Linked DNA regions of Oryzias latipes. The protein of the gene in region 2 binds, or shares a complex with, the protein of the main gene of each other region. Links are inferred from orthologs where the notes say so. Each region holds a gene or a part of one and is shown on either strand. Other genes may lie near its edges. The genes, in order: exosc4, exosc8, exosc6, exosc2, exosc3 and exosc5.

The links.
Region 1: exosc8 (region 2) and exosc4 share a complex: the UniProt entries of both Homo sapiens proteins name them as parts of the RNA exosome core complex. The link is inferred for Oryzias latipes from reciprocal best matches to the Homo sapiens genes EXOSC8 and EXOSC4.
Region 3: exosc8 (region 2) and exosc6 share a complex: the UniProt entries of both Homo sapiens proteins name them as parts of the RNA exosome core complex. The link is inferred for Oryzias latipes from reciprocal best matches to the Homo sapiens genes EXOSC8 and EXOSC6.
Region 4: exosc8 (region 2) and exosc2 share a complex: the UniProt entries of both Homo sapiens proteins name them as parts of the RNA exosome core complex. The link is inferred for Oryzias latipes from reciprocal best matches to the Homo sapiens genes EXOSC8 and EXOSC2.
Region 5: exosc8 (region 2) and exosc3 share a complex: the UniProt entries of both Homo sapiens proteins name them as parts of the RNA exosome core complex. The link is inferred for Oryzias latipes from reciprocal best matches to the Homo sapiens genes EXOSC8 and EXOSC3.
Region 6: exosc8 (region 2) and exosc5 share a complex: the UniProt entries of both Homo sapiens proteins name them as parts of the RNA exosome core complex. The link is inferred for Oryzias latipes from reciprocal best matches to the Homo sapiens genes EXOSC8 and EXOSC5.

What each region holds. Positions count from the first base shown.
Region 1 is NC_019875.2:26,759,988-26,763,434, forward strand, and holds exosc4 (exosome complex component RRP41), read right to left. Parts: upstream 2,256-3,447; 5' UTR 2,192-2,255; coding exon 2,021-2,191; intron 1,266-2,020; coding exon 1,059-1,265; intron 974-1,058; coding exon 617-973; 3' UTR 501-616; downstream 1-500. UniProt on the Homo sapiens protein: Non-catalytic component of the RNA exosome complex which has 3'->5' exoribonuclease activity and participates in a multitude of cellular RNA processing and degradation events.
Region 2 is NC_019872.2:10,272,857-10,276,817, reverse strand, and holds exosc8 (exosome complex component RRP43), read right to left. Parts: upstream 2,801-3,961; 5' UTR 2,746-2,800; coding exon 2,729-2,745; intron 2,459-2,728; coding exon 2,422-2,458; intron 2,043-2,421; coding exon 1,979-2,042; intron 1,891-1,978; coding exon 1,817-1,890; intron 1,629-1,816; coding exon 1,583-1,628; intron 1,203-1,582; coding exon 1,097-1,202; intron 1,001-1,096; coding exon 955-1,000; intron 883-954; coding exon 786-882; intron 641-785; coding exon 520-640; intron 445-519; coding exon 338-444; intron 252-337; coding exon 133-251; 3' UTR 37-132; downstream 1-36. Other genes in the region: alg5 (dolichyl-phosphate beta-glucosyltransferase), read left to right, coding at 3,731-3,796. UniProt on the Homo sapiens protein: Non-catalytic component of the RNA exosome complex which has 3'->5' exoribonuclease activity and participates in a multitude of cellular RNA processing and degradation events.
Region 3 is NC_019864.2:25,018,398-25,021,681, reverse strand, and holds exosc6 (exosome complex component MTR3), read left to right. Parts: upstream 1-1,188; 5' UTR 1,189-1,567; coding exon 1,568-1,845; intron 1,846-2,049; coding exon 2,050-2,590; 3' UTR 2,591-2,784; downstream 2,785-3,284. UniProt on the Homo sapiens protein: Non-catalytic component of the RNA exosome complex which has 3'->5' exoribonuclease activity and participates in a multitude of cellular RNA processing and degradation events.
Region 4 is NC_019870.2:12,830,056-12,834,039, forward strand, and holds the start of exosc2 (exosome complex component RRP4), read right to left. Parts: upstream 2,801-3,984; 5' UTR 2,562-2,800; coding exon 2,440-2,561; intron 2,241-2,439; coding exon 2,139-2,240; intron 2,012-2,138; coding exon 1,966-2,011; intron 1,841-1,965; coding exon 1,751-1,840; intron 1,661-1,750; coding exon 1,595-1,660; intron 1,502-1,594; coding exon 1,433-1,501; intron 268-1,432; coding exon 91-267; intron 1-90. Other genes in the region: ric1 (RAB6A-GEF complex partner protein 1), read left to right, coding at 3,761-3,901. UniProt on the Homo sapiens protein: Non-catalytic component of the RNA exosome complex which has 3'->5' exoribonuclease activity and participates in a multitude of cellular RNA processing and degradation events.
Region 5 is NC_019868.2:3,163,742-3,167,678, forward strand, and holds the start of exosc3 (exosome complex component RRP40), read left to right. Parts: upstream 1-1,137; 5' UTR 1,138-1,169; coding exon 1,170-1,412; intron 1,413-3,733; coding exon 3,734-3,883; intron 3,884-3,937. UniProt on the Homo sapiens protein: Non-catalytic component of the RNA exosome complex which has 3'->5' exoribonuclease activity and participates in a multitude of cellular RNA processing and degradation events.
Region 6 is NC_019873.2:26,312,798-26,316,942, forward strand, and holds the start of exosc5 (exosome complex component RRP46), read right to left. Parts: upstream 2,801-4,145; 5' UTR 2,755-2,800; coding exon 2,658-2,754; intron 1,639-2,657; coding exon 1,525-1,638; intron 974-1,524; coding exon 852-973; intron 768-851; coding exon 627-767; intron 148-626; coding exon 58-147; intron 1-57. Other genes in the region: catenin alpha-1-like, read left to right, coding at 4,028-4,145. UniProt on the Homo sapiens protein: Non-catalytic component of the RNA exosome complex which has 3'->5' exoribonuclease activity and participates in a multitude of cellular RNA processing and degradation events.

The DNA.
Region 1 (3,447 bases), on a different chromosome or scaffold from region 2:
CTTTAAAAAGTAAGTTACATTAATACCAATTTTGTTTCAGCAGGTAAAGAAAATGATAGATTATTCAGCCTCAACGGACTGAAACTCTTACAAAACATGTATTGTATTGTGACATAAAAATTACTTTTACAACAAACAAAAGCAAAAGCAGAATAGCCTGTCTGCAAAACAAATCAAAGAAAATTAATCTAAAAAAAAAAGACTAAACACATGAACAGAGCATTTCATTCAGGAATAAAAAGTATTGTTTTGGTGAAAATTTGTAAGATATCAACACAGCTAAATAAATTGGATATAAGAATTATCTAATTTTTCACAAATTGTTTACTCTTACGGATGTGTGGTTTAAAATAAAGGTTCTTATTGTATCAGTCTGAAAACAAAGCTTTATTATCTGTTTATATATAAAATGCTGATGTTGCTGTTTCAGTTGATCACATTGATTTTTGCATCAAAAACAGGTCAGTTTTCAGCTAATAAAACAAATGCAAATACAAAGAAACGATATACATTCACATTTATTCTTTATGCACAAATATACTTAATAAAATGTTAAGAATGACGACAAAATAAGTGTTGATCCCAGGAAACCATTTGTTTACTCTTTCCTTCACCATTATTCTCTGAGCGTAGAACCTTCTTGGAGATGTTGCCTGACCACCTGGTCCAGGACTTTGCTCACACCTTTACAAGCGGTCATTGCCGCCTCAATCAGAGTGTCGAGGTGATCCTGATGCAGTCTGGCATCCATCTGGACCAGAGCGATCTGCCCTCCGCGGGGCAGAAGCGCCAAAGCCAGAGAGCTCACTCCTCCGCTCTCCTCTGCGTAGCAAAGATCGGCAAGAGAGGTTTCATCCACGAAGCCCACTGTGCAGGCGCACACATAGTCCCTCATCGGTATCCCTGCGTCGATCACTGCCAGTGTGGCGGCGTTCACACAAACGCTGTAGTTCCCCCCGTCGGACTGAAGAATCTTGAATGATGAAAACGTTCTTAAAACAATGACGAAAACAGATGCTATGAAGTAGAGCGCAGTATACTATAAATCTAAGGCCAACCTTGACATAGATGTCTATCTGGGAGCGTGGGTAGAGCTGGGTCAGCACGGCAGCTTCAAACGTTTGCTTGAGGTGAAGGCTCATTTCTGTGGACTTGCGGTCTCCGTGCGGTCTCCTCTTCCTCTCCGCCGTGCTGAAGGTGGCCATGCTGTACTGGCAGTTGATAATGGCTCTGTCATGAAGAGCCCGACTACGAGCACCTCGAATCTGAATGGGAAACAGGAAGTAAGCATAGGAGAACCATAAAAAAGGTCTGACATTTTTCACAGGGCGGCATACATCTGTCCTTTGAGTAAAACAGCTTTTTAATCCATCATCAGAGGTAAACCAGACAATAAAAACGCCAGACATGGGAGAGTTTGAGGTCAACGGCACAGATGAGCAAAAACAACATCTCAGGTTTTCCATCAGAAATATCGATGTTCTACAAGATTTAGGAAAGACTTTCAGGACAGAAAAGATAACCGTGAAACATTTTGGGTGATGTGCCTCGCATCACTCTAGTGTAAAACATTGCACAAACAGTCAAACATGGTGGTAATGGTGTCATGGTAAGGGGCTGTTATATTTGGGGCTTGGAATACTTTTGGTAAATGAATAAATTAACCAACAAATCCTCAAATTAACTTGGATTTCTCAGCAAGTCAAAGATTCAAAAGCAGTAAGTTTACCTCAGAATAGCATAACAAGTTCAAAAACTCTTGAATGCAGTTGTTAGTAAGTACTGTGTGACCGAGCCAGATAAGTAAACATTTTGTGTTACTGATACAATAAAATGCTTTGAAGGAAACGTATTATACTAAAATCATTACATTAATGTAAAATATCCCTTTAAATCTGACACATTACATAGAAATATCTTAATCCTTCATTAAACGCAGTTTGCACCGTTTCTTTGGCTGCCATGAACAGACTGGTGGTGTTGTTTTTACGTCACTTCTCCACGCGCGCGCGCCACTCACTTCATGCGGGCCGTAAACCACCGCCAGAGCTTTGGTGTTTCCTTGCTCCAGATACGCGGAACCGTCGGCCTGAGCGAACACCCCCATGCGGGCCTGGACTTTGCGCAGCTCGGTAGCTTTTCTTCCATCCAACCGGTATCCTTGATCAGACAGCAGCTCCAGACCCGCCATTTTCCCTAGCTTAACTACACGACAACACACGTGTCTACTGATGTACTACATTAACCATCATCCTCTTCGAGCAGTTACAGCAACGTCGGAAGAAAGTGTCGCAAAAAAGATTTCCATATTTATTTTACTTAGATGGTTTAGTAACAACTTCTTACTGGAAAAGTAGCCTAACGAAACATTTAGAAAGCCTTTTTTCTTATTTTATATTATTTTTAAATCTAACTGATACGTCAGAACAAAAGAAGTAGATAAATGCGGAACTACTAGTACGCGAGTCAAAACTAATTAATAAAATAAATTAAAATCAGGAGCTGAGAAATTACACACGGCATGCAGTTTTTACATTTAAGAATTCTGACTTTAATCTCACGACTCCGATTTTTAATTTAAAATTACAAGATAAAATAAGACTTTAAGCATTTTAAGTTTTAGGAATTCAGATTTATAAATATTTTCAACACAATAAACACTTCATTTAATGTCAGAGTATTGACATAATCTGATAAAGATTAATCATGATTTTAATAACTATTGTTTTTTCTTGGGAATGTCAATTTTAAAATACTGTCTTTAAATATAGAATTTTGATATTAGAGTACAGCAACATTTTCTGAAATTACTATAAGAATTCTTTAAAGGACACCTGCAGATTTTCTCATTTTCTTTTATTTTATTAATTTTTGCCCCTGACATCTTGACAAGTTTTACAGGCGCTGCAGTTTGTTTTATCTTCTGTCTGAAATCAGAACCCAAGTCAAAGTATATTTATTTTTCCAAAACATCTTGGTTTTCAAATTTTAAAAAGTAAATCCAGTGTTAATCTTTTTAAATAAAATGTTTTAGCATTTTTGTAAATTATACAGAAGATATATTTTCATTTCTGATGTTAAAAAGGATTCAATTCTATTGTCATTTATTTTTCTAGTTTAATTTTAATATTTTTGAGCGCCAATCGTTCGTGATCATTTTAAATCAGATCAACATCTTTCACTTTTTCATATTTAAAAAAAAATTTGTGTTAAAGCATTTGATAATTTACAAATATGAAGTAGACTTACCTTGTAATGCCATATTTAAAATAAGTTTTTTGTGTGTTTTTAAATTGATTACAGAGTAAAGCTTTTCACCTTTTAAAACGTGTTTAAATTGACTACATTTTGGCCTGCTTTGTTAATATTTCAGTCACACAAACTGCCTGCCAGCATTTCACTTTAAAGCTTTTATCAGATCTCAGACGACATTCCAGCCTCATCTTC
Region 2 (3,961 bases):
AGGTTTCTGAATATTGAGAAATAATTTTTTAAGCAGTCTTTGTCAGCAGTTTTATTGTTATTAAAAAAAAAAGAACATATATATTGACAGTGAAAATACAGCTTTTAGATAAAAGTCTTGGTCTGGGTGTCTTTATTGTGCTGCCTTCACGCTGTTTAGAACTTTCTCGATGAGTTTCTGGATCTCTCTTTGTCGTGCTGTTGCTCGGTTGATGCAAGTTTGGAGCTTTTCTGCTGACAGGGACGTCCCACCTGAGGCGCAAAGAACCGGGTTTCAGCTCCGTATGATTGGAGTTATTGTGTTGATCGCCGGAAGCGCACTGCACGGCCTGTCTGACCTGGTTTGTGTAGAGAGCAGAGTCGTTCCTCCTCATCTGTGACCACGCTGAGCCGCGATGTGGACAGACTCTCCTCATCAGCGGTGGGATCTACAATCAGGATGGAGCTGCACAAAGAGCACGCTTGGTTTGTACACATGCTTTCAACAAACCCAGAAAATGCAACAATATCTAAAACGTACTCCTGGAAGATACAAAACGAGGTGCCGACTGGATGTTTGTGAACCGGCAGCTCGTGTCGCTCTTTCAAATCTATCTCTGGTTTGCATGTCGCTTTGTTGACGGTGACCTTTGGGAGACGAGCTGTGGGAAGTGAAAAATGCAAAATCAGCCTGTTGATAGACTCCTTTCGGGGCAATTTTCAATTTTAAAACACGGATTAGTTGGTTAAAATGTACAGAATAACTTTAATTATTTTTTTTTTTTTTTTACTGAAACAATGACGTACTGTTCTTCAGTGCAGCCAGCAGAGCAATGATGCACGCATCCAGAATGTTTCCATCATAATCCAGACACATGATGTCACAGTACAGCACCCAGCAAAGCTGCAAAGAGGATAAATAGACTCACCGCTAGTGAACCAACAGTGAAAACAAACGGCATCAGTCTGGATTTACCTTTCCTCTGTCGATGCACAAGTCCTCTGGTTTGATTATTTCAGAGCTGCAAAGGTGGATGGAAGTTGGTGAAAACCATTGGGAGAAATGCAGATAAACTGATGAGAGTAAAGAGATTGTAGTGTTTTTAATTCTGACAAACCTTTCGATGACATCAGCGATAAACTGGCTGGAAGCTTGGGCCTGTTCTCCTGGCGGGCCTGGCCGAAATCGCGAGGAACAGAGGGGTGGTAGGTCTACATTGGGGACTATAAATAACAGGAAAAGTCCAATGATTGGGATTATTTTTCCACTTAAAAACTTGTGCTTTTCAGTGACAACCCTTGAAGCTAAAAATAGAACAAACTCGTATCCATCATGGATAATCCTGAGCATCCTCTGCCTGCCGTACTGGATGGACAGTTGAGTGCCTTTCCAAGTGCTGCTACGATGACTGCTAAAGGAGCTCATTCCTGTTCCACGACATAGGACTGTTTAACTCATCTTTGTGCCAGAGATACGCTGCATTCATCATTGATTTTTGATAGTTGCTTCTCTGTACAAGCTAAGGTCTGCACACTACTGCTACAAATTTAACAAGTTGGCATCGATAAAGTATCTTTAACTATTTTTATCTATAAAAACTTACCAATATATCCTTTACCAGGAGCTTCCACTGTAGGGTTTGCCAATTCCTGCAGAATAGATCAATGTATGACACAGGAAACAACTTGCTAAATGTACAAACACTGAAAGAAGTGGTGGGGGGTTAAGAAATATTCACATAGATCTGTTTTATTTTTTAACTGTACACCTTTTAAAACAAAGGCATCTGGAATAAATTATTAAGAGTGAGTTTCAGTGTAATAACATGTTAACACACAGCTTTGATGCCACAGATGACTGTTGTGCTTCCCAGCTTCACCAATGCAGAGCCGTCTGCCGTGGATATGGACCCTGAACACAAACCCAAAAGAGAAAAGTGCTCAATGATTGTTGTTTGCTTGTATCATAAACACTGCAACTTTGTGGTGCTTCAATTCACCTATATTCAATGTCGTGGTTCTGAATTCAGACAGCTCGCGTCCATCTGGTCGACAGTTCTCTTTCTATGGGGAAAATAAATAAAGTTTTAGATTCAAATTGATATGAGTGTAACATTACAGCGTTACAGTAAAGTTGAAATATTAATTTCTGGAAAGTTCTTAATTCATAACAGCAGATTTTTAAAAAGCAAACCATTTAATACATTTCATTAAGAGATTTGTTTATGTTTCAACTCCCTGAAATTAATGAAAAACAAAAACGCAATAAAACTGTCCATTTTTATTGAAGATCACATGTTGTATGGCAATCCCTAGTATTGTGAACTACAATTTTAACGTTTTTTTCCTTTTTATTTCTTTCTGTTGTAGTTATGTGAATGTGTGTGTGTGCCATATTTTGACAATCTAATAAAAAAATACATAAATAAAAAATTGGACAAACCAGAAAGCTCATATGATATTCCAGAGGTTCAGCGGTCCTAAACAGTCATGAGGGAAGACAGAAAAGGTAAATGCATGTACAAAATCACGTACGTTTAGTGTTATGTTGATAAAATAAAAAATAAATTCTTAGCGGCAATAAATAGAAACCCAATTTACTAACGGACATAACCTAGACTTTGTGATTTCTCCACTTTGATTTAAAGTACAGCAAATAATTCATTTTCTTTATGTAAAGTTAAAAAGTTAATTTAAACGAAAAAAACGCCGTAAATTACATAAAACCTGAACAACTTTCAGATACTGACTTGAATCCAGCCGCCATGATGTTTTGGTACAACACGTGGGTTTGTGCTACGGCAGCCGCAATGGGGAAAAAACCTCGTCCATGCTGTGCTGAACCTGAACACTTTTTTCTTCTTCTTCTTTTAATTTAGGGACGATAAAGATCCGCTTTTTACTGTATTATTTTTTTGGCGTACCCAAATCCAATTTCCAAAAATATAAGTAACTAATAAAGAAAGTGCTACTTTAAGCTTTTAATAATTTACCATTCATGTTTTATTGTTTTTTGTTTTTTTTCTTCCAGATTTTCCTTCAAGTTTTAAACTGTTCTCGTATTTGGGGATTTATTTATTTCATTACTACTGTCTTGTTGATTTTGTGTCATCTTAAAAAGATATTAATATAAATATTATTTCTATTATATTCATTTTGTTAACACCTGTATTAATTTGGTTTTAAACTACATTAAACCATAAAGAAATGATAAAACTGCATTAACCCTTTTTTACAGGCTTGACAATTTTTAATCTAATTATTTTTCTTTTTCAGTTTTTAGTTATAGTTGTTGGTTAGTCTTTTCTTTTTTTGTCTTTCAGACTTTGACATTGCTGCTTCAAACGTTAGGGTTAGCAATGATCATAAAATATATGCATGAAAAACAAAACCTGTTGTTTGGTTGTTCAAACAAACAAACTAAAAACCTGCTAGTGTCAGTACCACCCCACGCCTGTAAGTGGCAGTATGCATTTCTCGCAGCCTGTCATGTGGAGTTCTGCTTCAAACTGATGATGTGTCGAGGAGTAAAATTTACTTCCGTGTTGCTTTTGTGTACAGCTCTGATTGGAAGTGGAGCTTGAAAGCGTTATGGGCTCATAGAGATTCAGTGTTTATATTTCATATATTTTCGTTTACACCTTTGTTATAAGTTAGAGGGTTGGGATACGGAACGGGACAAAGAAGAAAAGCTAGCTACAGCCAGCCAGGTGTAGGTGTTAGTTAGGAGCTGTAGGGCGACTTATGGAAACATGATGGACTTTATCTGTGAAATTATTCAAGTTCTCGTCGCATTAGCGGCTCTTGGTTTCATTGTGGTAAGTGTATGGATAGTTTTAACATTGTTAGTAATGTAACTAACTTCTTAGCACGTGTAAGATAGCGATTTTCACATGTATGTACTAGTACTCCATGGTTTCTGTGTGTGTGTGTGTGGGTGTGTGTGTATGTATGCATGATGGCTGCATTTTCTTTTATTTAAA
Region 3 (3,284 bases), on a different chromosome or scaffold from region 2:
ATTCCGCTGCAGTTTTCGCACTAAGACCACCCTAAAACCGGGTCCTGTTCAAAAGCCGCTGGACCTGGACTGCTCAAACCTGGATTAAATTATACATTAGATACTAAAGAACACATTAAACACCGTTTCAGATTTGTGAAACCTTCCTCTGATTTGTGAAAATCTCAAATAGGTTGATTTTTATCGCATTTTACGCACTGAGTCCAGTGGACCTGGTCTAAGGTGGACTCAGTGCGTAAAATGGGATAAAAAATCAACCTATTTCACATTTTCACAAATCAGAGGAAGGTTTCACAAATCAGAAACTGGGTTTAACGTGTTCTTTACTATCTAAATTATTATTTAATCCAGGTTTGAGCAGTCCAGGTCCTGCGGTTTTTGAACAGGACCTGGTCTAAGGTGGACTCAGTGCGTAAAATGCGATAAACATCAATCTATTTCAGATTTTCACAAATCAAAGGAAGGTTTCACAAATCAGAAACTATATTTAATGTGTTCTTTAGTATCTAATGTATAATTTAATCCAGGTTTGAGCAGTCCAGGTCCAGCGGTTTTTGAACAGGACCCGGTTTTGGGTGATCTTAATGCGAAAAATGCAGCGGAATGTTTCTTTTGTGCCTTCGCGAATCGGAAGCTGTGAATCGGAAGCCAACTTCAGCGTCGTAAACCGCCATTATACTGACAGTCATCATTTCTTTCAAACTGGCCCTAAAACTATACTATATTTCGAAGCAAAGGTAAGTAAAACTATTTGGAAAACCTTTCATTCTAAATCTGACAAATCAAAATGCACTAACTGACCTGACGCTAGCAAACTGCTATGCTAGCCAGTCAAAAGCAACCGCTGAAATTTCCGTCCCTGCTAGTGAATTTGGAAGTCAACTATGAGGGGAAAACTAACCGGCGAATCAACACAGTGAGTGTCATTTACCCAAGCAAGTAGTTTGACTCACATAAGATGCTGTTATCACAAAACGAACCGGTCACAGCTCCCCAAAACACCGCTTCAGTCCACGCTGCTCGCTCAGAAGGGAAGTGCAGAGGCGATGGACACGCCCACGGACGCCACCTATTGGTTCAGATGTGCAGGAAGCCGGCGAACGCTCAATCCCATTGGTCGAGCCAAGCTGTCAGTTTTAGCCGAGCCCGCCACATTAGTGGTGCAAACTCCTCTGCTGTGGTTGATGCAATGAAAAAGACGCAGATGCCAACTAGCACGTACAATTTATTTTAGTTGTGCAACGAATAATTAATTTCTAACAAAAGTTATACACATTCGAAGCATTTCTAGCTAAAAGAAAAGGCGTAACGGAATTTTGCTTTGACTAAATTGCTAAGATTTAGCTATTGCGTGTATTTTATTTACTGTTACAAATAAAATATGTTGAAAATTAAATAATACCATCAGAATTAATTTATTTTTTATGAATAAATTCAAATTAATAAAGATGATGAAACATGACAACACTATCGGAACAAGCGGAACCGTGTTGCTGTGGGGACAGATTTATTGACGGACCGATCCCTGAACACCCGCTTCATTCGGTTCACGTGAGAAGAGATCGCCATGCCGACGGACACCAAACGTGTACGCGGGCCCGAGGTGTCTCAAAGCCCGTCTTTGTTTGACTGCAGACCCTCTGTGGTTCCCCCGTCGCATGGGGCCCGAGCGGACGGCCGCCAGCGGGACCAGGTGGACGTCCGGCCGGTGTTTGTGCGCTGCGGCCTGGTGAGTCAAGCTAAAGGTTCCGCGTACATAGAAGCTGGAGACACCAAGCTGCTGTGCAGCGTTTACGGCCCGAGAGAGACGGAGCGGAAAGATGAGACTGACATGAAATGTGGACGGTATGTAGTGGTCTTCATCCAGTTTTATAATGGAAGACTAATAGAAATATGTTTGCATTCAATGATATAACAAAGTAAAAAATAACTATGTGATAAGGCTGTAATTGGATTCTGCTAGAATTAGTAAAATAGAAAATCAGTTTAATTTTTTAAACAATACATTTAAAGTCAAAAGTTGATAAATCAACACATCTGCTTAACCAGACTGACCACAGACATGCGCTTCGCCCCGTTTTCCTGTCCGGAGAGGGGCTCCTGGATCCAGGGGAGCCAGGACAAGAACTTCTCCCTGATGCTGCAGGAGAGTCTGCAGCCGGCCTTGTGCCTTCACAAATACCCCCGCTCCCAGATTGAGGTCAACGTCATGGTCCTGGAGAACAGCGGTTCGGTTCAGGCCCACGCCATCACGTGCGCCTCCCTGGCACTGGCTGACGCGGGGATTGAAATGTACGACCTGGTGCTGGGCTGCTCCATCCGACAGGATGGCTCCTCCTACGTGGTCGACCCCACTTACTCAGAAGAGAGCAACTGGAGCAGCAGCGAACACCAAGGAGGGCTCACCGTGGCGTTTCTCCCCAGCCTGAACCAGGTTTCCGGCCTGCAGTCGGATGGAGAAATGGCTGAAGAGACTCTGACGGCAGGGATTCGGACCTGCATTGAGGGATGTTACAAACTGTACCCAGTAATCCAGCAGGCTTTGGTTAAGGCTGTGCGCAGAGCGCAACCCCCACCACCCGAAAGCTGAGAGGCAAAGTCAACACTATTTTTTGTCTGAGTCTTCAACAAGAACTTTAAAATTCAAAACAGTTTTTCACCTTGTTTCTTGATCTGAGGTGAAAGGATCCGCCAGCGTCCCCCTGATCTAAGAAACAGATTGATCCTATTTATTCATTTCTCCACCGTCTGCCTGCAGGACAAAACTTTGAGTCAGTTTGTTGATTTTTTTTTTTCCCCCCATGCCCCAAAAATCTAAATAAGGTAAACAAAGTTTTTCCTGCTCTTTATGCTATAGGGGAGAAAAAAGAAAACAAATTATGAAAAACTGAGAATGACTGGTTTAAAAAAAGAAAATGTTTTAATGCAAATGTCTGTTTTGTTATTTTAAAAATAAAAATACAGAATAAAAAATAAAAAATCCTAGTCTTTTTGTATTTTGGTTAGCATTTTATCACAGAAATGTATAATACAGAAGGTCAGATTGCATTTGTTTGCACATTTTCTTTAAAGAAAAAGTACCAAACTCCTATTTGTTCTCCAAAGTGAAACTCAGCTTGGATATTATATGGTAATGTGTCACCCGTGTTTTCATTCAGGATCTGATACTACGCTTTGAATTGCTCCAATTCAGGAAAAGTGACACAAGCTCCACTACCTCAGTATCATTTGCCCATCGCTAGTTTGTAATATTTATTCCATTTTTTCCTGTTTTACTAAATAGT
Region 4 (3,984 bases), on a different chromosome or scaffold from region 2:
GTTAAAATATTTTTAAAACAATTAACACTTTTTAGATGACACTTTTTGATCATTTTGAAACATAAAATATTTATAAACCTACAAAGTTACCTCAAGACTGGTGTAGAAACCTCCAGCTTCCTCCTCTTGTTGTCCCAGTGTGGGATACAACCACACAAAGCCGTTATTGCCAAGGATAACAGATGCACCGCATGGAAGATTATGGAAGTGACTTTTCTGCCTCTTGATCAGAGAAGGTGAAATTTGCACCAGCACTCCCTGACCCAGCTAACAAGAATACAGAGACCCAGAAAAGAAAAAAAATGATATACCGGTACCTATAGGCTACGTTCACACTGCAGGGCTTAATGCTCAATTCTGATTTTTTAGAAAAAATCCGATGTTCTTGCAAGGCTGTTCACATTTCCAATTAAATGCGAACTTTTGTGATTTCCTGTGTGACCGTGAAATGACCCAGAAGTGACCCGCATGCGCAGAAGAGTACTCAACGGGGAACGACATCACTCGTTGTTTGCGGAAGTAGCTAACGTTAGCAATGGATGTCAACTACAGTGTTGTCAACAGCGGAGCTCTTTTTGCAGTTTACATTTATTTTCAAGATGGAGCCAGCACAATTACAATCTTCTCATTTTAAGAAGGCATTGGAGCCAGGATCGTCTGTACCCACTGTGGTGGAATGGGGATGTGTATGTGCTGGGGCCGCGCGAGCACGTGTGTGTGTGTGTAAGAGAGAGGAGAGAGCACGTGCAGCGCAGCATTCCCTACTGCGCTGTGCGCATTCATGTTGTGTGTTACGGAGGAAGGACAACGATAATAAAAAAAGGCTGCTATTGACTCTTTATTAAACTGCTCTAGAGAATCTGAGGGTCCGAACGGGGAAATGAACGCCCAAAGGAGGATCCGCCTTCGGTCCCCCGCGCTTCTGACCACGGTCAGAAAGGGGAAAAAAAAGTAATTGCCAGGAAGGTTCAACCCCACGCTCGGCCATTTCGCTGGAATTTTTTTCAAAAAACCGCCCGGTTGCGATAAGAGCCCTCGAGTTTGGCCTGAATAGAGCTGTCACCCCAAATTTTAATCCAATCGGTGACCTTGCTTGCCTTCCAATGACTGGTCTCACCAGCATCGTCCGGCATGGTTGATGTTCATGTTCTTGTTCCCGCCTACTTCAACGCAGAATAATGACTTACGGGTCGGATACATGTGGCTTGGCCATTCAGACGGAGGTCGCATTTGAAAAGATCTGATCTGTGTCGCTCAGACTGTCATAAAAAGATCAGACACAGGTCGCATAGGGGCAGAAAAATTGGATTCAGCCTGCAGTGTGAACATGGCCAGAAACACAAATTTATTCAACATGTATAACAACAACAGGGAAACAGCTCTGTAAAATTTACCAAAAGGAGATATCAACATAGTAACACTGTGCACTTACTTTTCCATATTTTAAACTGCGAGTATGTAATGACAAGGCTCCATCTGAAAAAACAGACTGCACTTCTGCCTAAAAACAGTGAGAAAATACAGCAAAGTAGTCTTTAGTGACAAAAACTATGAGGGGGAAATGTTGGCAAAAAGACTAGAAAATCCTCTGTACACTTATGAGATCACCCTCCTGAAGATATTCTCTCATGGTCAGCTCATCTTCTGCTGATCTCCTCCTCTGTATAACAAAACAACAACAAAAAAGAGCATGCAGTTCAACTCATCCTGTAACGCTTCTCTCTCGTTAAACAACACAGTTCTGTCTCACCAGCTCTCCTCCAGGCAAGTTTACTGATGACAGCAAGAGGACAGAGTCCAGTCTGGAATTGGTTTCCACCTTCCAACGTTTCTGCTGCACCTGTATATAACCATCAAATCAAACAGATTGAAAAGATTATTAGCAAAAACAGATACAATGAATCCAACAACAAAAAAAATTGTTATCTCGTTTTGCCTTTTTAGAGAACAGTTGGAATAACTCACCTCTGTAATTCTGCCGACCACAACGTCTCCAACCTCGCCATTAAATCTAAAATGACGCACAAATGATCTTAAAGAATGTTTGCAAAAGTGGGGCTAGTCCGATCTGAATGGGTCAATCCACCAACCAATTCTATTGTTCATAAACATTGAAGATTTTTGTCCTTCACACTCACCTGGTCTTCAGTGGTCTGACACAGATGAGTTTGTCCACCCTCTGCACCTCTCCAGCAACTGAAGCTGTCAGCTTTTCTTCATCAACATAAGTGCCATGCCCCCTAGAAAACGACAAATTGTAGTTATGGTTTATTAAAATCATGTAAAGATGTAATTTCTTATCCTTCATCAGTATTCCATCAGATCAAAGACACATCTAAATAAGTTCTGGTGTGTTCTGAGTTTCTTTTTAGCATGTAGCTTACCGTACTACATCAGCGTGGTATCAAACACGTGTTCCAAAACGCAAGCAGAACCTACCTCATAAAACCTGTGTCCGAAGTGATGATGTCTCCGGGAACAACGAGATCCTTTCGGTCGAAAGCGGAAGCTGACAGAGACACCGTTTTCCTCACAGTCGGTAATCTCATATCAAGAGCCATGCTGTTACCGCAACTCTTCTGGTTATGGCTTCTTTCACACTCGTTTAAGTCAGATTTAAGTTTAAAAATGCAAAAAAAAATGGTGTACGTAGTTATTGAATCTTTGTTTTTGTTTTTAAATTAACAAATGATTACCCTATAAACTTGTAATAAATGCCAACCAAACAGCATATTATGCTAACACAAAACTTTCCTCCACTTGCTTCTTTGGCGTCTTAAAAGCGTGTTATAGCTACATTAGCACCTCCTTGTGGTATGGAGTTACTACTACAGTGTATCTTGTGCAGCACATCTTGAAATAATATCCATCCTCACAAATATTTATTTTTTATTCCAAATTAGAAAAAAATTCCGTTCTTTTTCATGCAGTTTGGCACCAAATTATTGTCCATTAATGTCACATTTGGTCTTCGATAAAAAGAAATCAGCTGAGTTCTGTTTCTTTTTTCGTATACTGTAACTTTATCATGTTGCTCACATTGCTATTTGCATGAGGTCATATTTATTTATTTAATTAAATATTTATTTATTTAATTATGAACAGTATGGGACTCCATATTTCTATTCTTTCTTTTTTTCATTAAAGAAATTAATGAAACTCCATGACAATACATTCTTTCTGGATGTCTTCTCACTTGACCACTAGGTGTCACCCTCGTGTCACGCAGCAGCCATTGTCACATAACAGAGTGGTGACGTTGGATGTCAACATTAAGCAAATTTCGTGCGGCTGACCAATCAGCGTTAAGATGGATAGACTCTTTGTAAAGATGGCGACAGTGAGGCTCAGTGGAGTAAAAACTGGACGCTTATCTCTTAATGAACACCACTGGTCCAGACAGCGTAACAACTGACAAAGCTCGGGGAGCAAAGCGGATTGGCCAGCATACTGGTACAGCGGGCACAATTTAGCGTTGCACGGTGTCGCGACGGGCCTCGCCGCTTTTGTTTTCGGGGACACCGCGCACCGCTCGCTAGCTTTAAGTTTGAAAATCCAATGCTAGCCCGGGGCTAGCCGTGGAGCTCAGTCGGCTGCTTTGGTATTTCTGTATGGAATCTGTGGATTAAACCTGCCCAGCGCCATCACCGGGCTCTTTAGTAGTGTTTTTGTCTCGACGAAAGCACTATGAGTCGCCCGTAGAGGCAACTACCGAGGATCTGGATTGCTGCGCTGCCTGCTCGAACTAAAGAGCGCCGTCATGTATTTTCTAACCGGTTGGCCCCGGAGGTTGCTTTGTCCGCTGAGGAGCGAAGAGGAGCCTTTCCAGATCCAGCCCAGCTCTCAGAGGTTTTACTTCGCCCTGGTGTCAGAAACCCAGATCAGCATCTGGTTCAGCCGGGTAAGTCGTGAAGTGAAGTGAACGCACGCGCTGCTCCAGCTGTCCCTGCACGAACACAATCAGGGGAGGTTCATTTAGTTTCT
Region 5 (3,937 bases), on a different chromosome or scaffold from region 2:
CAGTTGACCACAAATGTGCACGTCTGCTCAGAATGGTAGAAACAGACTCCATGAGGTCGCCAGGTGGGAGTTGTGTTGACAGCCCAAAACCGTGCGAGACATTTGACATTTGCTGTAGAACACCAAGCTTGGCATAGTCACTGTTGACACAGTCTGGAGATGCGGTGGAGAATGCTCTGCTGCCTGCAATATTGTCCAACATGAGCGCTTTGGCAATGGGTCAGGTATGGTTTGGGGCGGCATTTCTTTGGAGTGCCACACAGCCCTCCATGTGCTCACCAGAGGTAGCCTGACTGTCATTAGGTACTGAGATGAGATTCTCTGACCCCTTGTGAGACCGCATGTTGGTGCGATTGGCCCTGGGTTCCTCCTAAAGTAAGACAGTGCTAGGCCTCATGTGGCTGGAGTGTCAGCAGTTTCTGCCAGACGAAGCTAATGATGTCATGGACTGGCCCGCACACTTTCCAGACCTGAATGCAATTGAGCACATCGGGGACATCATGTCTCGTCCATCCACTAACTCCTGGTTGCACCCCAGACTGTCCAGGAGTTAGCAGATGCTTTGGTCCAGGCGTCAGAGAAGATCCCTTGGAGGACCACCCGCTGCCTCATCAGAAGCGTACCCAGGCATTGCAGGGGAATCATATGGGCATGTGGAGGCCACGCCCACTACTGAGCCTCATTTTGACTTGTTTCAAAGAAATTACATTGAAGTTGGATCAGCATGTAATGTTCACACATCCAGACATCCATAGCCGAATAGTTTTAATTTCCATTACTATTTTTATTTTATTGTGTTGTCAGGACATGCAAATATGTAAAGAATGAAGCATTTCAAAAGAATATTTCATTTGTTCAGGCATAGCATGTCTTTTTTAGTGCTCCTAAATCGTTTGAGTTGTGTACGTGTGTGTGGGTGTGTCTGTGTGTTACACTATTGAGACATTTTTATACTACTTTTTGTTTCTGTAGAAAATTATTTTACCTTTTTTCAAAGACGATTATTTTAGAGGAAATTTGGTGAGACCTGGATTTATCCAAAACGTTTTGAAAGGTGTGTCCTTTAAACAGGAAAATTCTTATAATTTAGAAAGCGCTATTGTTCCTCCTGGTCACCAGGGGGCGCAAAGTAAGGATCTGATATAAACAACAAAAAGAAGAAGACGACCATGAGCACGACAGGAGGCATGTTCGCCGTTCTGAAGGAGAAAGTTGGACAGGTTCTGGTTCCGGGGGACGAGTTCTGCTTTGGTGCAGAGGAAACGATCTCTCTGTCGGAGAGCGCGAAGCCGGAGCGCGCGGTGTGTGGACCAGGGCTGCGGCGGAGCGGAGACCGCCTGGTGGTGATGAAGAGCGGCGTGCTGCGGCACAAACCGCCGCTCACCTTCTGGATCGATTCCCAGCAGAAGCGGGTAAGAGCGGACCGGTCCGAACCAAAGGTTCTGAGATCCCAACAAACTGCGTTCAGCGGTCCAGAGACGTGTTTAGAGCATTAATGTGAAGCGGTCCGGTCACAACCAGCATTCAAACACAACTTTATTGATAGCACTTCCTGATGAAATCCACCTCAAGTGCTTTATATAACAAATAGTAAAAATATCAGTTACAAATAACAAAGTATAATCAAATAAAAACCAAATACGCGTCAAGCTAATACATCAAAATAAACTAAATTAATTATTTATCAAATTAAAACATATGGACTGATACAGAGATATGGGTTTTGATTCGATGCACTCAACTAACCAAGAATTTAAAAAAATCCACACATGATCTGCGTATTTTCAATTTAGACCCAGATTATTTATGCAAACACAAGTTTCATTTTTGCAAACTTGTGTTTGCTTAAATAATGTACTTTGTTGTGAATAAATGTGTCCGCGTGCGTTCGTTCCATTGATCCTTAGGACAGTGTTTTTCAACCTTTTTTGAGCCACGGCACACTTTAACCCTGAAAAAAATCCCGCGGCACACCATCATCCAAAAAAAAAAAAAAAAGCAGAAATTCATGGTCTGTATTGATCGACAGCGCCCCCCCCCCCCGCAATCTCACGTGAATTTTTGTGATAATTGTGGCAGAAAAAGCAGGAATTTGCGGCTGTTTTTTTCTAAGAGATGAACCACCAGCTAAAGCTCGTCTTTAGCTGGTATATTTGTTAGAACTGAGCGACTTTATCAGCAGAATTAAGAACAAGGAAGTGAAGACTTTAAGCACTTCTGATTGGTCAGACTGATGACATGTGATTAAGCCTTCAAGAATGATTGGCGGAGACAGTTAAAGGGGCGGGACTTTTCCTTACACAGTTAGAGCTGCAGCTAAATCGCGGTACCGTGATTTTTATCAAAATCTCTTTAATAGAATTAAATAAACACAAAGAAAAAGTAATTTTAAGATCTTTTATATTCCTAACTACTCAGTGTTTTATCAGGGCCTGTTTGGATGAACACAGAGCTGAAATCCTGGAGATGGAAAATGTTTTTAGATCAGTTAATGAGGGCAATTTCTCCACGGCGCACTTGACCATCTCCCACGGCACACTAGTGTGCCGCGGCACACTGGTTGAAAAACACTGCCTTAGGAGAATCGTAGTGTGACGTCACCCATACAAATGGCTTACTGGCTCAAAGATGAAACAAACAGAGATGCTTGTCCTCCCCGAGCAGCAGCAGGTGAGCAGCAGAGTAGAGAACCGCCCCGTGTACTGATGATGGGTTGGTTGGCAGTGAAACATCTCTAAAGTCGGATCTTGGCGTTTACTATATTATTTCACCCATTTTGACTTAATTATTCTCTGTGCTGCACATGACTGCGTCTCTGGTCAGCGTGAGTTGGCGCTCAATGCACTCTGCAGGTGGGTGCTGGGGTGGTGTTGGTCCAGTAGACCTGCAGCTGCTCAGAACTGCACAAACGCCAGACGTATAGAGAGAGAGACAGGCACAACTCATTGTCATGGAATACCTTAAGTCAGAGAAAATGAACATGGAGGCATTAAATAATTCTTTGTGTTTTTAAAAGAGTGGATTCGACAGATGTGATCATAGGCGTAACTGATTTGTTTCCACATCTCACTTTGAGCAGTGGCCTATAGACCACATGTGTTGTAACTTTTTTGTGTATTTTTTCACATTGTTGTCTGAATTCTAATAAAACCAGGTTATGTCTTGAGCCAGGTTCAAATTTGCACAAGGTCATTTCTCTGAATATAAAGTTATATGAATGACAAGAGGATCTTGTTTGTGAAAACTGTTTTTTGCCTTGAGAATCTGTATGTGAGAGGAAAAAAAGTGGAGTAACCGGTAGGCAATTACCGTACTAAATAGGTGAGTAAAGTAATTTAATTACAATTTTGTAACACTAAGTAAACAGTTACTTTTTAGAAGTCATTTTCCCAACACTGATGCCAATATGACGTCACCCGTTTCCCTAAATAGAAAGGTAATAAATATGAACATTTTATGACGACTTTATGAATCTACTGTGTTCTGATGATGAAAACCTAATGGTTTATAAAAAATAGTGGCCAATCAGGAGTGAGCTTGTTTGAAGGTCACACCCCTATCACTTGAAAGCAGGCTACATAAAATCTGTCAAATGTTTCACACATTCAATGTGAGAAGTTATGTCAATGGGATTTTGGCTTCTTGGAGCCAGCGGGTTCTTCCTGTTTGGAGCATGAGGAGGGAGGGGTCCTTCAGTCCAGTTCTCGAATAGTCAATGGTTTGTTCTCCTCAGTATGTCGCCACTAAAGGGGAGACCGTGATCGGGATCGTGACGGCCCGAGCAGGAGACACCTTCAGGGTGGACTTTGGCGGCAGCGAGCTGGCGTCTCTGTCTTACCTGGCGTTTGAAGGAGCCACCAAGCGAAACCGACCCAACGTCCAGGTGAGTGTGGGTGGGGCTCTGTGTGCAGTCTGCTGTGTGCAGTCACTCCAAGGA
Region 6 (4,145 bases), on a different chromosome or scaffold from region 2:
CTGAGAGGATTGAAATGAGAGCTTAGCGGAAGATGATGGAAAAACGGCTGGACGGACCTCATGAACGGAAAAGGATCCTTTGGTGGATGACATCATTACTTTACGTTCTTTACTGTCGATGGCAAAAGTCATCAAAGCTCGACTCTCCTTTGAAAAGAAATTAAAATAGGACTTTAGTGCCAGACGGGCAGACAACCAATTTTAAAGGCAAACTGTTTTAGAACTGAAACACTGAGACAAAAGGATGAACTGAAGGTGACACACTAAAGAAAAACTGCATTTTTATGAAATAAAAAAAAAATAGTTTTGGTGGAAAATGAACCCATTTTTTTTTAGCAAAGTTAGAATTTTTATTAGCCTTTAAATTTGTTTATCCTCCCCTGAGCTGGAATCTGGATCTAAACTACACAGCTGGATTTTTGTTTCACCAGTAAAGTTAGGTCAGGGGTGTGATCTGATGAAAACCGACATCCATGTTTTAGGGATTCTATGAAATGTGACTTTTTTTCATGAAAATTAAACCATAAATTGAGAACTTTTTGTTAAACTTGCTTTCTGATTATATTTCTACATTCAAAGCAGCAAAAATGAAGATTTTCAGGTTAGTGTCAGCATCTTTGGTTGACCTTTTCCTGAGCTGAGGTGGGGTCAGTGATGATCTGCCCGTATGCGCTGATGGCGCAGGTCACGCCGCAGAAGAGGCAGCTCATCGGCAGACCTGCGTCCATGAGGGCCATGCAGGCTGCATTCAGGCAGCAGGACAGGAGCTGCAGAGCAGGTAAGGAAGACGACTCGGCAGGTGCTAGGCCACGCCCCCCGCGGGTTCAGAGGTCGGGTTTAGTAAAGGATACAGAGCCGTCGTCGTGCAGCACCTGGAGGACCAGCGTGAGCGAAGATCGAGGGTGGAGGGTGAGCAGCAGCGCCTCCTCGCAGGTTTCACGCACACACTGCTCCTGCGAGCGCTCCCTCACACCTGGAAAACAGAGGCATGATGGGATATGAGTTCAAAGCTGATAAGGAATCCACTGGCTCCCCCTTATGGCGTAATCCTATAAATCAGTTGCACAAAACATTCCTAAAGAAAGACTTTAATACCTTGATCGGACCTTTGTCTTAATGCTTATTTATAAATTGCAGAACTGTTGAGATACGAGTGAGCCTTCAGATGAAACTAAAACCCACATGAGACCTGAGGAAGTTCATCTTTTTACTGTGATTCAGTAGAAATAAAACAGCATCTGTGATTTCCATTCAACCCAAAGACATGAATGAAACCAGGCTTAAGAGGATATTTGCATATAAACATTTGAATCCATTGAAAGTGATTATAATTGTCTCTACATTTAACAGACTTCCTTCTTTAAAGCTGGATTTATTCATTTTAGAGCAACAAAAACAAGGATTAGTAGTTGTTTTTGCTTTTTTTCTACAACAGATTAAAAACAAAAAGGATTGAATTGGTTTCAGAAAAACCAGACACACGTGACAGCATCTGACTTTTCCAGGACATGCAGCAGAACTTACTCGGCAGACCAACTTTGGGCTGAACCAGCACCTCCAGAGTTGCTCGGTCGTAGATCTCCTTACTGACCTTTACTTCAGCAGGTCCATAAACTCCAGCCATCACACTCGTGTCCCCTCCAGAGACACAAAAACAACACAAAGATCAAAGTTCTATTAAAATAGAGGACAAACCTGAAACAATGATGTGATTTCTACATTCTTATTGTGTCTGTAAACTTTGATCTTGGCTATAAAACATAAAAACAGTGTAAATCTTGCAGTAAATGCATGACCAAATCTGCTGCTTAGAGTGGTGGTTTTGGTTCAGTTTCAGGTTTACTGTAGAATTATTACATAGTATATAATTCATTCATCTTCTAAACCCGTTTTGTCTCTTTCAGGGTCACAGGCCTGCTGGAGCCTATCCCATACACTATATTAAACAATATCTTGAAAAAAAAGAATAAAAAAGAAGATGGGGTCATATTAAAAAAATAATTTAAAGCATTACCCCAAAAAAAAACTTTTATAGGGAAATTATTAGAAAATCTTTGAAAAAATGTTGCTCCAAGACCCCAGACTATACAGTCCGATGCCGGCGATGTAAACAGTTCACAATGACCACTAGGATACAAATATTCAAAGATGATTTGGGGAATGAAAAAAAGAGGATGAGTAAACCAAGAAATAAATATTTAAATTTGAGAGAGCTGATCTGAACACAGAAAGTAAAACAGATGAATCCAACATTTCAACATCTTTATTTATAGAAAAATGACTAGAAATTATTTTTCAAATGTTTGGCTTCTTAATGGTTTAACAGCAGTTGACTTTTGATTACAAAAAACTAAATGTGAAAAGATAAGTTCGTAAAAATATTTAGTTATTATTTAGCTGCTCATTTTTGTTCTTGAATATTAACAATTTTACAACATTTACCAAGAGCTAAAACTAATGCAAAACCAAAATAAAGCAAATACAAAAAGTACTTTAGGACATTCTTAGCTTAAAACTCATTTAAAGATCGTTTGCCAGCAGTCGAGAGTCAAATTATTTCTCTGAAATAATAAGTTTGTCCATAATTCTTTGGGCGGAATCGGGAGTTGTACTCATATTCTTAAAGAAAAAAGTCAACATTTTCCTTCAGCTGTTACCTTGAACGAAAGACGCAGATCCATCCGGCCGAGAAAGTAAACTCTGCTCGCAGCCAAACTCTCGGAGAGAAACATTTGAAGGAGCAGAAACCTCCATCACGTTGCCAACACGGAAGGGGATGCGTCGCTGGACGATGACGTCATCTATTTACCGACGCGAAGGGGCTCTGCATCAAAACCAATGTTGTGTTTTAAATTTTGTGTTCAATAAAAAACAGTCAGAAAGTCAACAACAAAGTAAGTAGTTTAAAAAATATATTATTAACATTATTATTATTATTATTATGATTATTGCTATTGTTGTTGTTGGACACTTTTATTACGTGTCTTTATTTTCCATATAAAATGTATTTTTTACGTATGCCTGTCATTTAATTGGTGTCAGTATTTGACATAAAGACAGCAGGTAATGCAGGCAGTAAAACAGCTGCACTTTTTGAGATTAGACATAAACAATGGATCATTTGTTAATGAATGAATTAAGGCTTTTTGGAGAATTTTTACTGTTGGTGTTGCACAAAATTAGGAAAATGCCAAAATAAACTTTGATTAATTCCAGTGAGGAGTTATATGATTTAGTTTTTAATGTTTTATAAGACCTATAAATGGTTTTCATAATAGCAGTTTAAAAAAAAATCAAATCCCTTTGATACGTTTCACAAAGACACACACAGCACGTCACACAGCAAGCAGAAATGAACTTACTTGCTGACAAAAAATTTGACAAAACAGCAAATAAAACGGAATAATTTGAATTAAATATTTCCAGACTTTGTTTATTTTGTTCTGCAGCATGTTCATATTTGTATAATTTTGACTGAATATATTTTTATGGAGAGCACCGTTATTAACGGTTTAACTTGATTTATTCTGGATTAACAATACTGTCTGTTTTTATTCATTTTTATGTTAAAAAACCTCTGTTATAAAGGTTTAAAAGTATTTTTTGTTTTGTTTTTTAAAGTGTAGCTTTAGTTTGGTAAATAAATGTTGTTGGGCCCCCAACTTAAAGCATGTTTTCTGTTTAGGCCCCCTGTGTGAGTGAGTTTGACACCCCCGTAATACGAGCCCACAAAATTCACGCATCTTTTGTGTAAAATGGCCAAATAAAAATAGGGAACACAAAAGAACGTCAAATTGCACTGGGGAGTTACTCTCCCTGGGAGTAAGTTAGTGCAGAACCACCACTGCAGTCAATAATCAATGAATAATGTCAGAAATGATGATTTATATGTTATTAATTCTAAATAACGTTGTGACAACAGTTGCTATGGGGAACTGCCATATGGCACTTTGTGTAGCATGATAAATAATACATGCAGCACAGCTAATTCTTTCGCAGAGGGAAGAATTCACCGATAAATGAAACTATGCCTTCATGTCTGGATCAAAGTTTTATCAAAACTGCAGCAGTGGAGAAAGTGGTTGCCCCAATCTCCAGTCACCTTTGTCTCCTCGTGCTGCTGTGCGACAGTGAACATGAGCCAG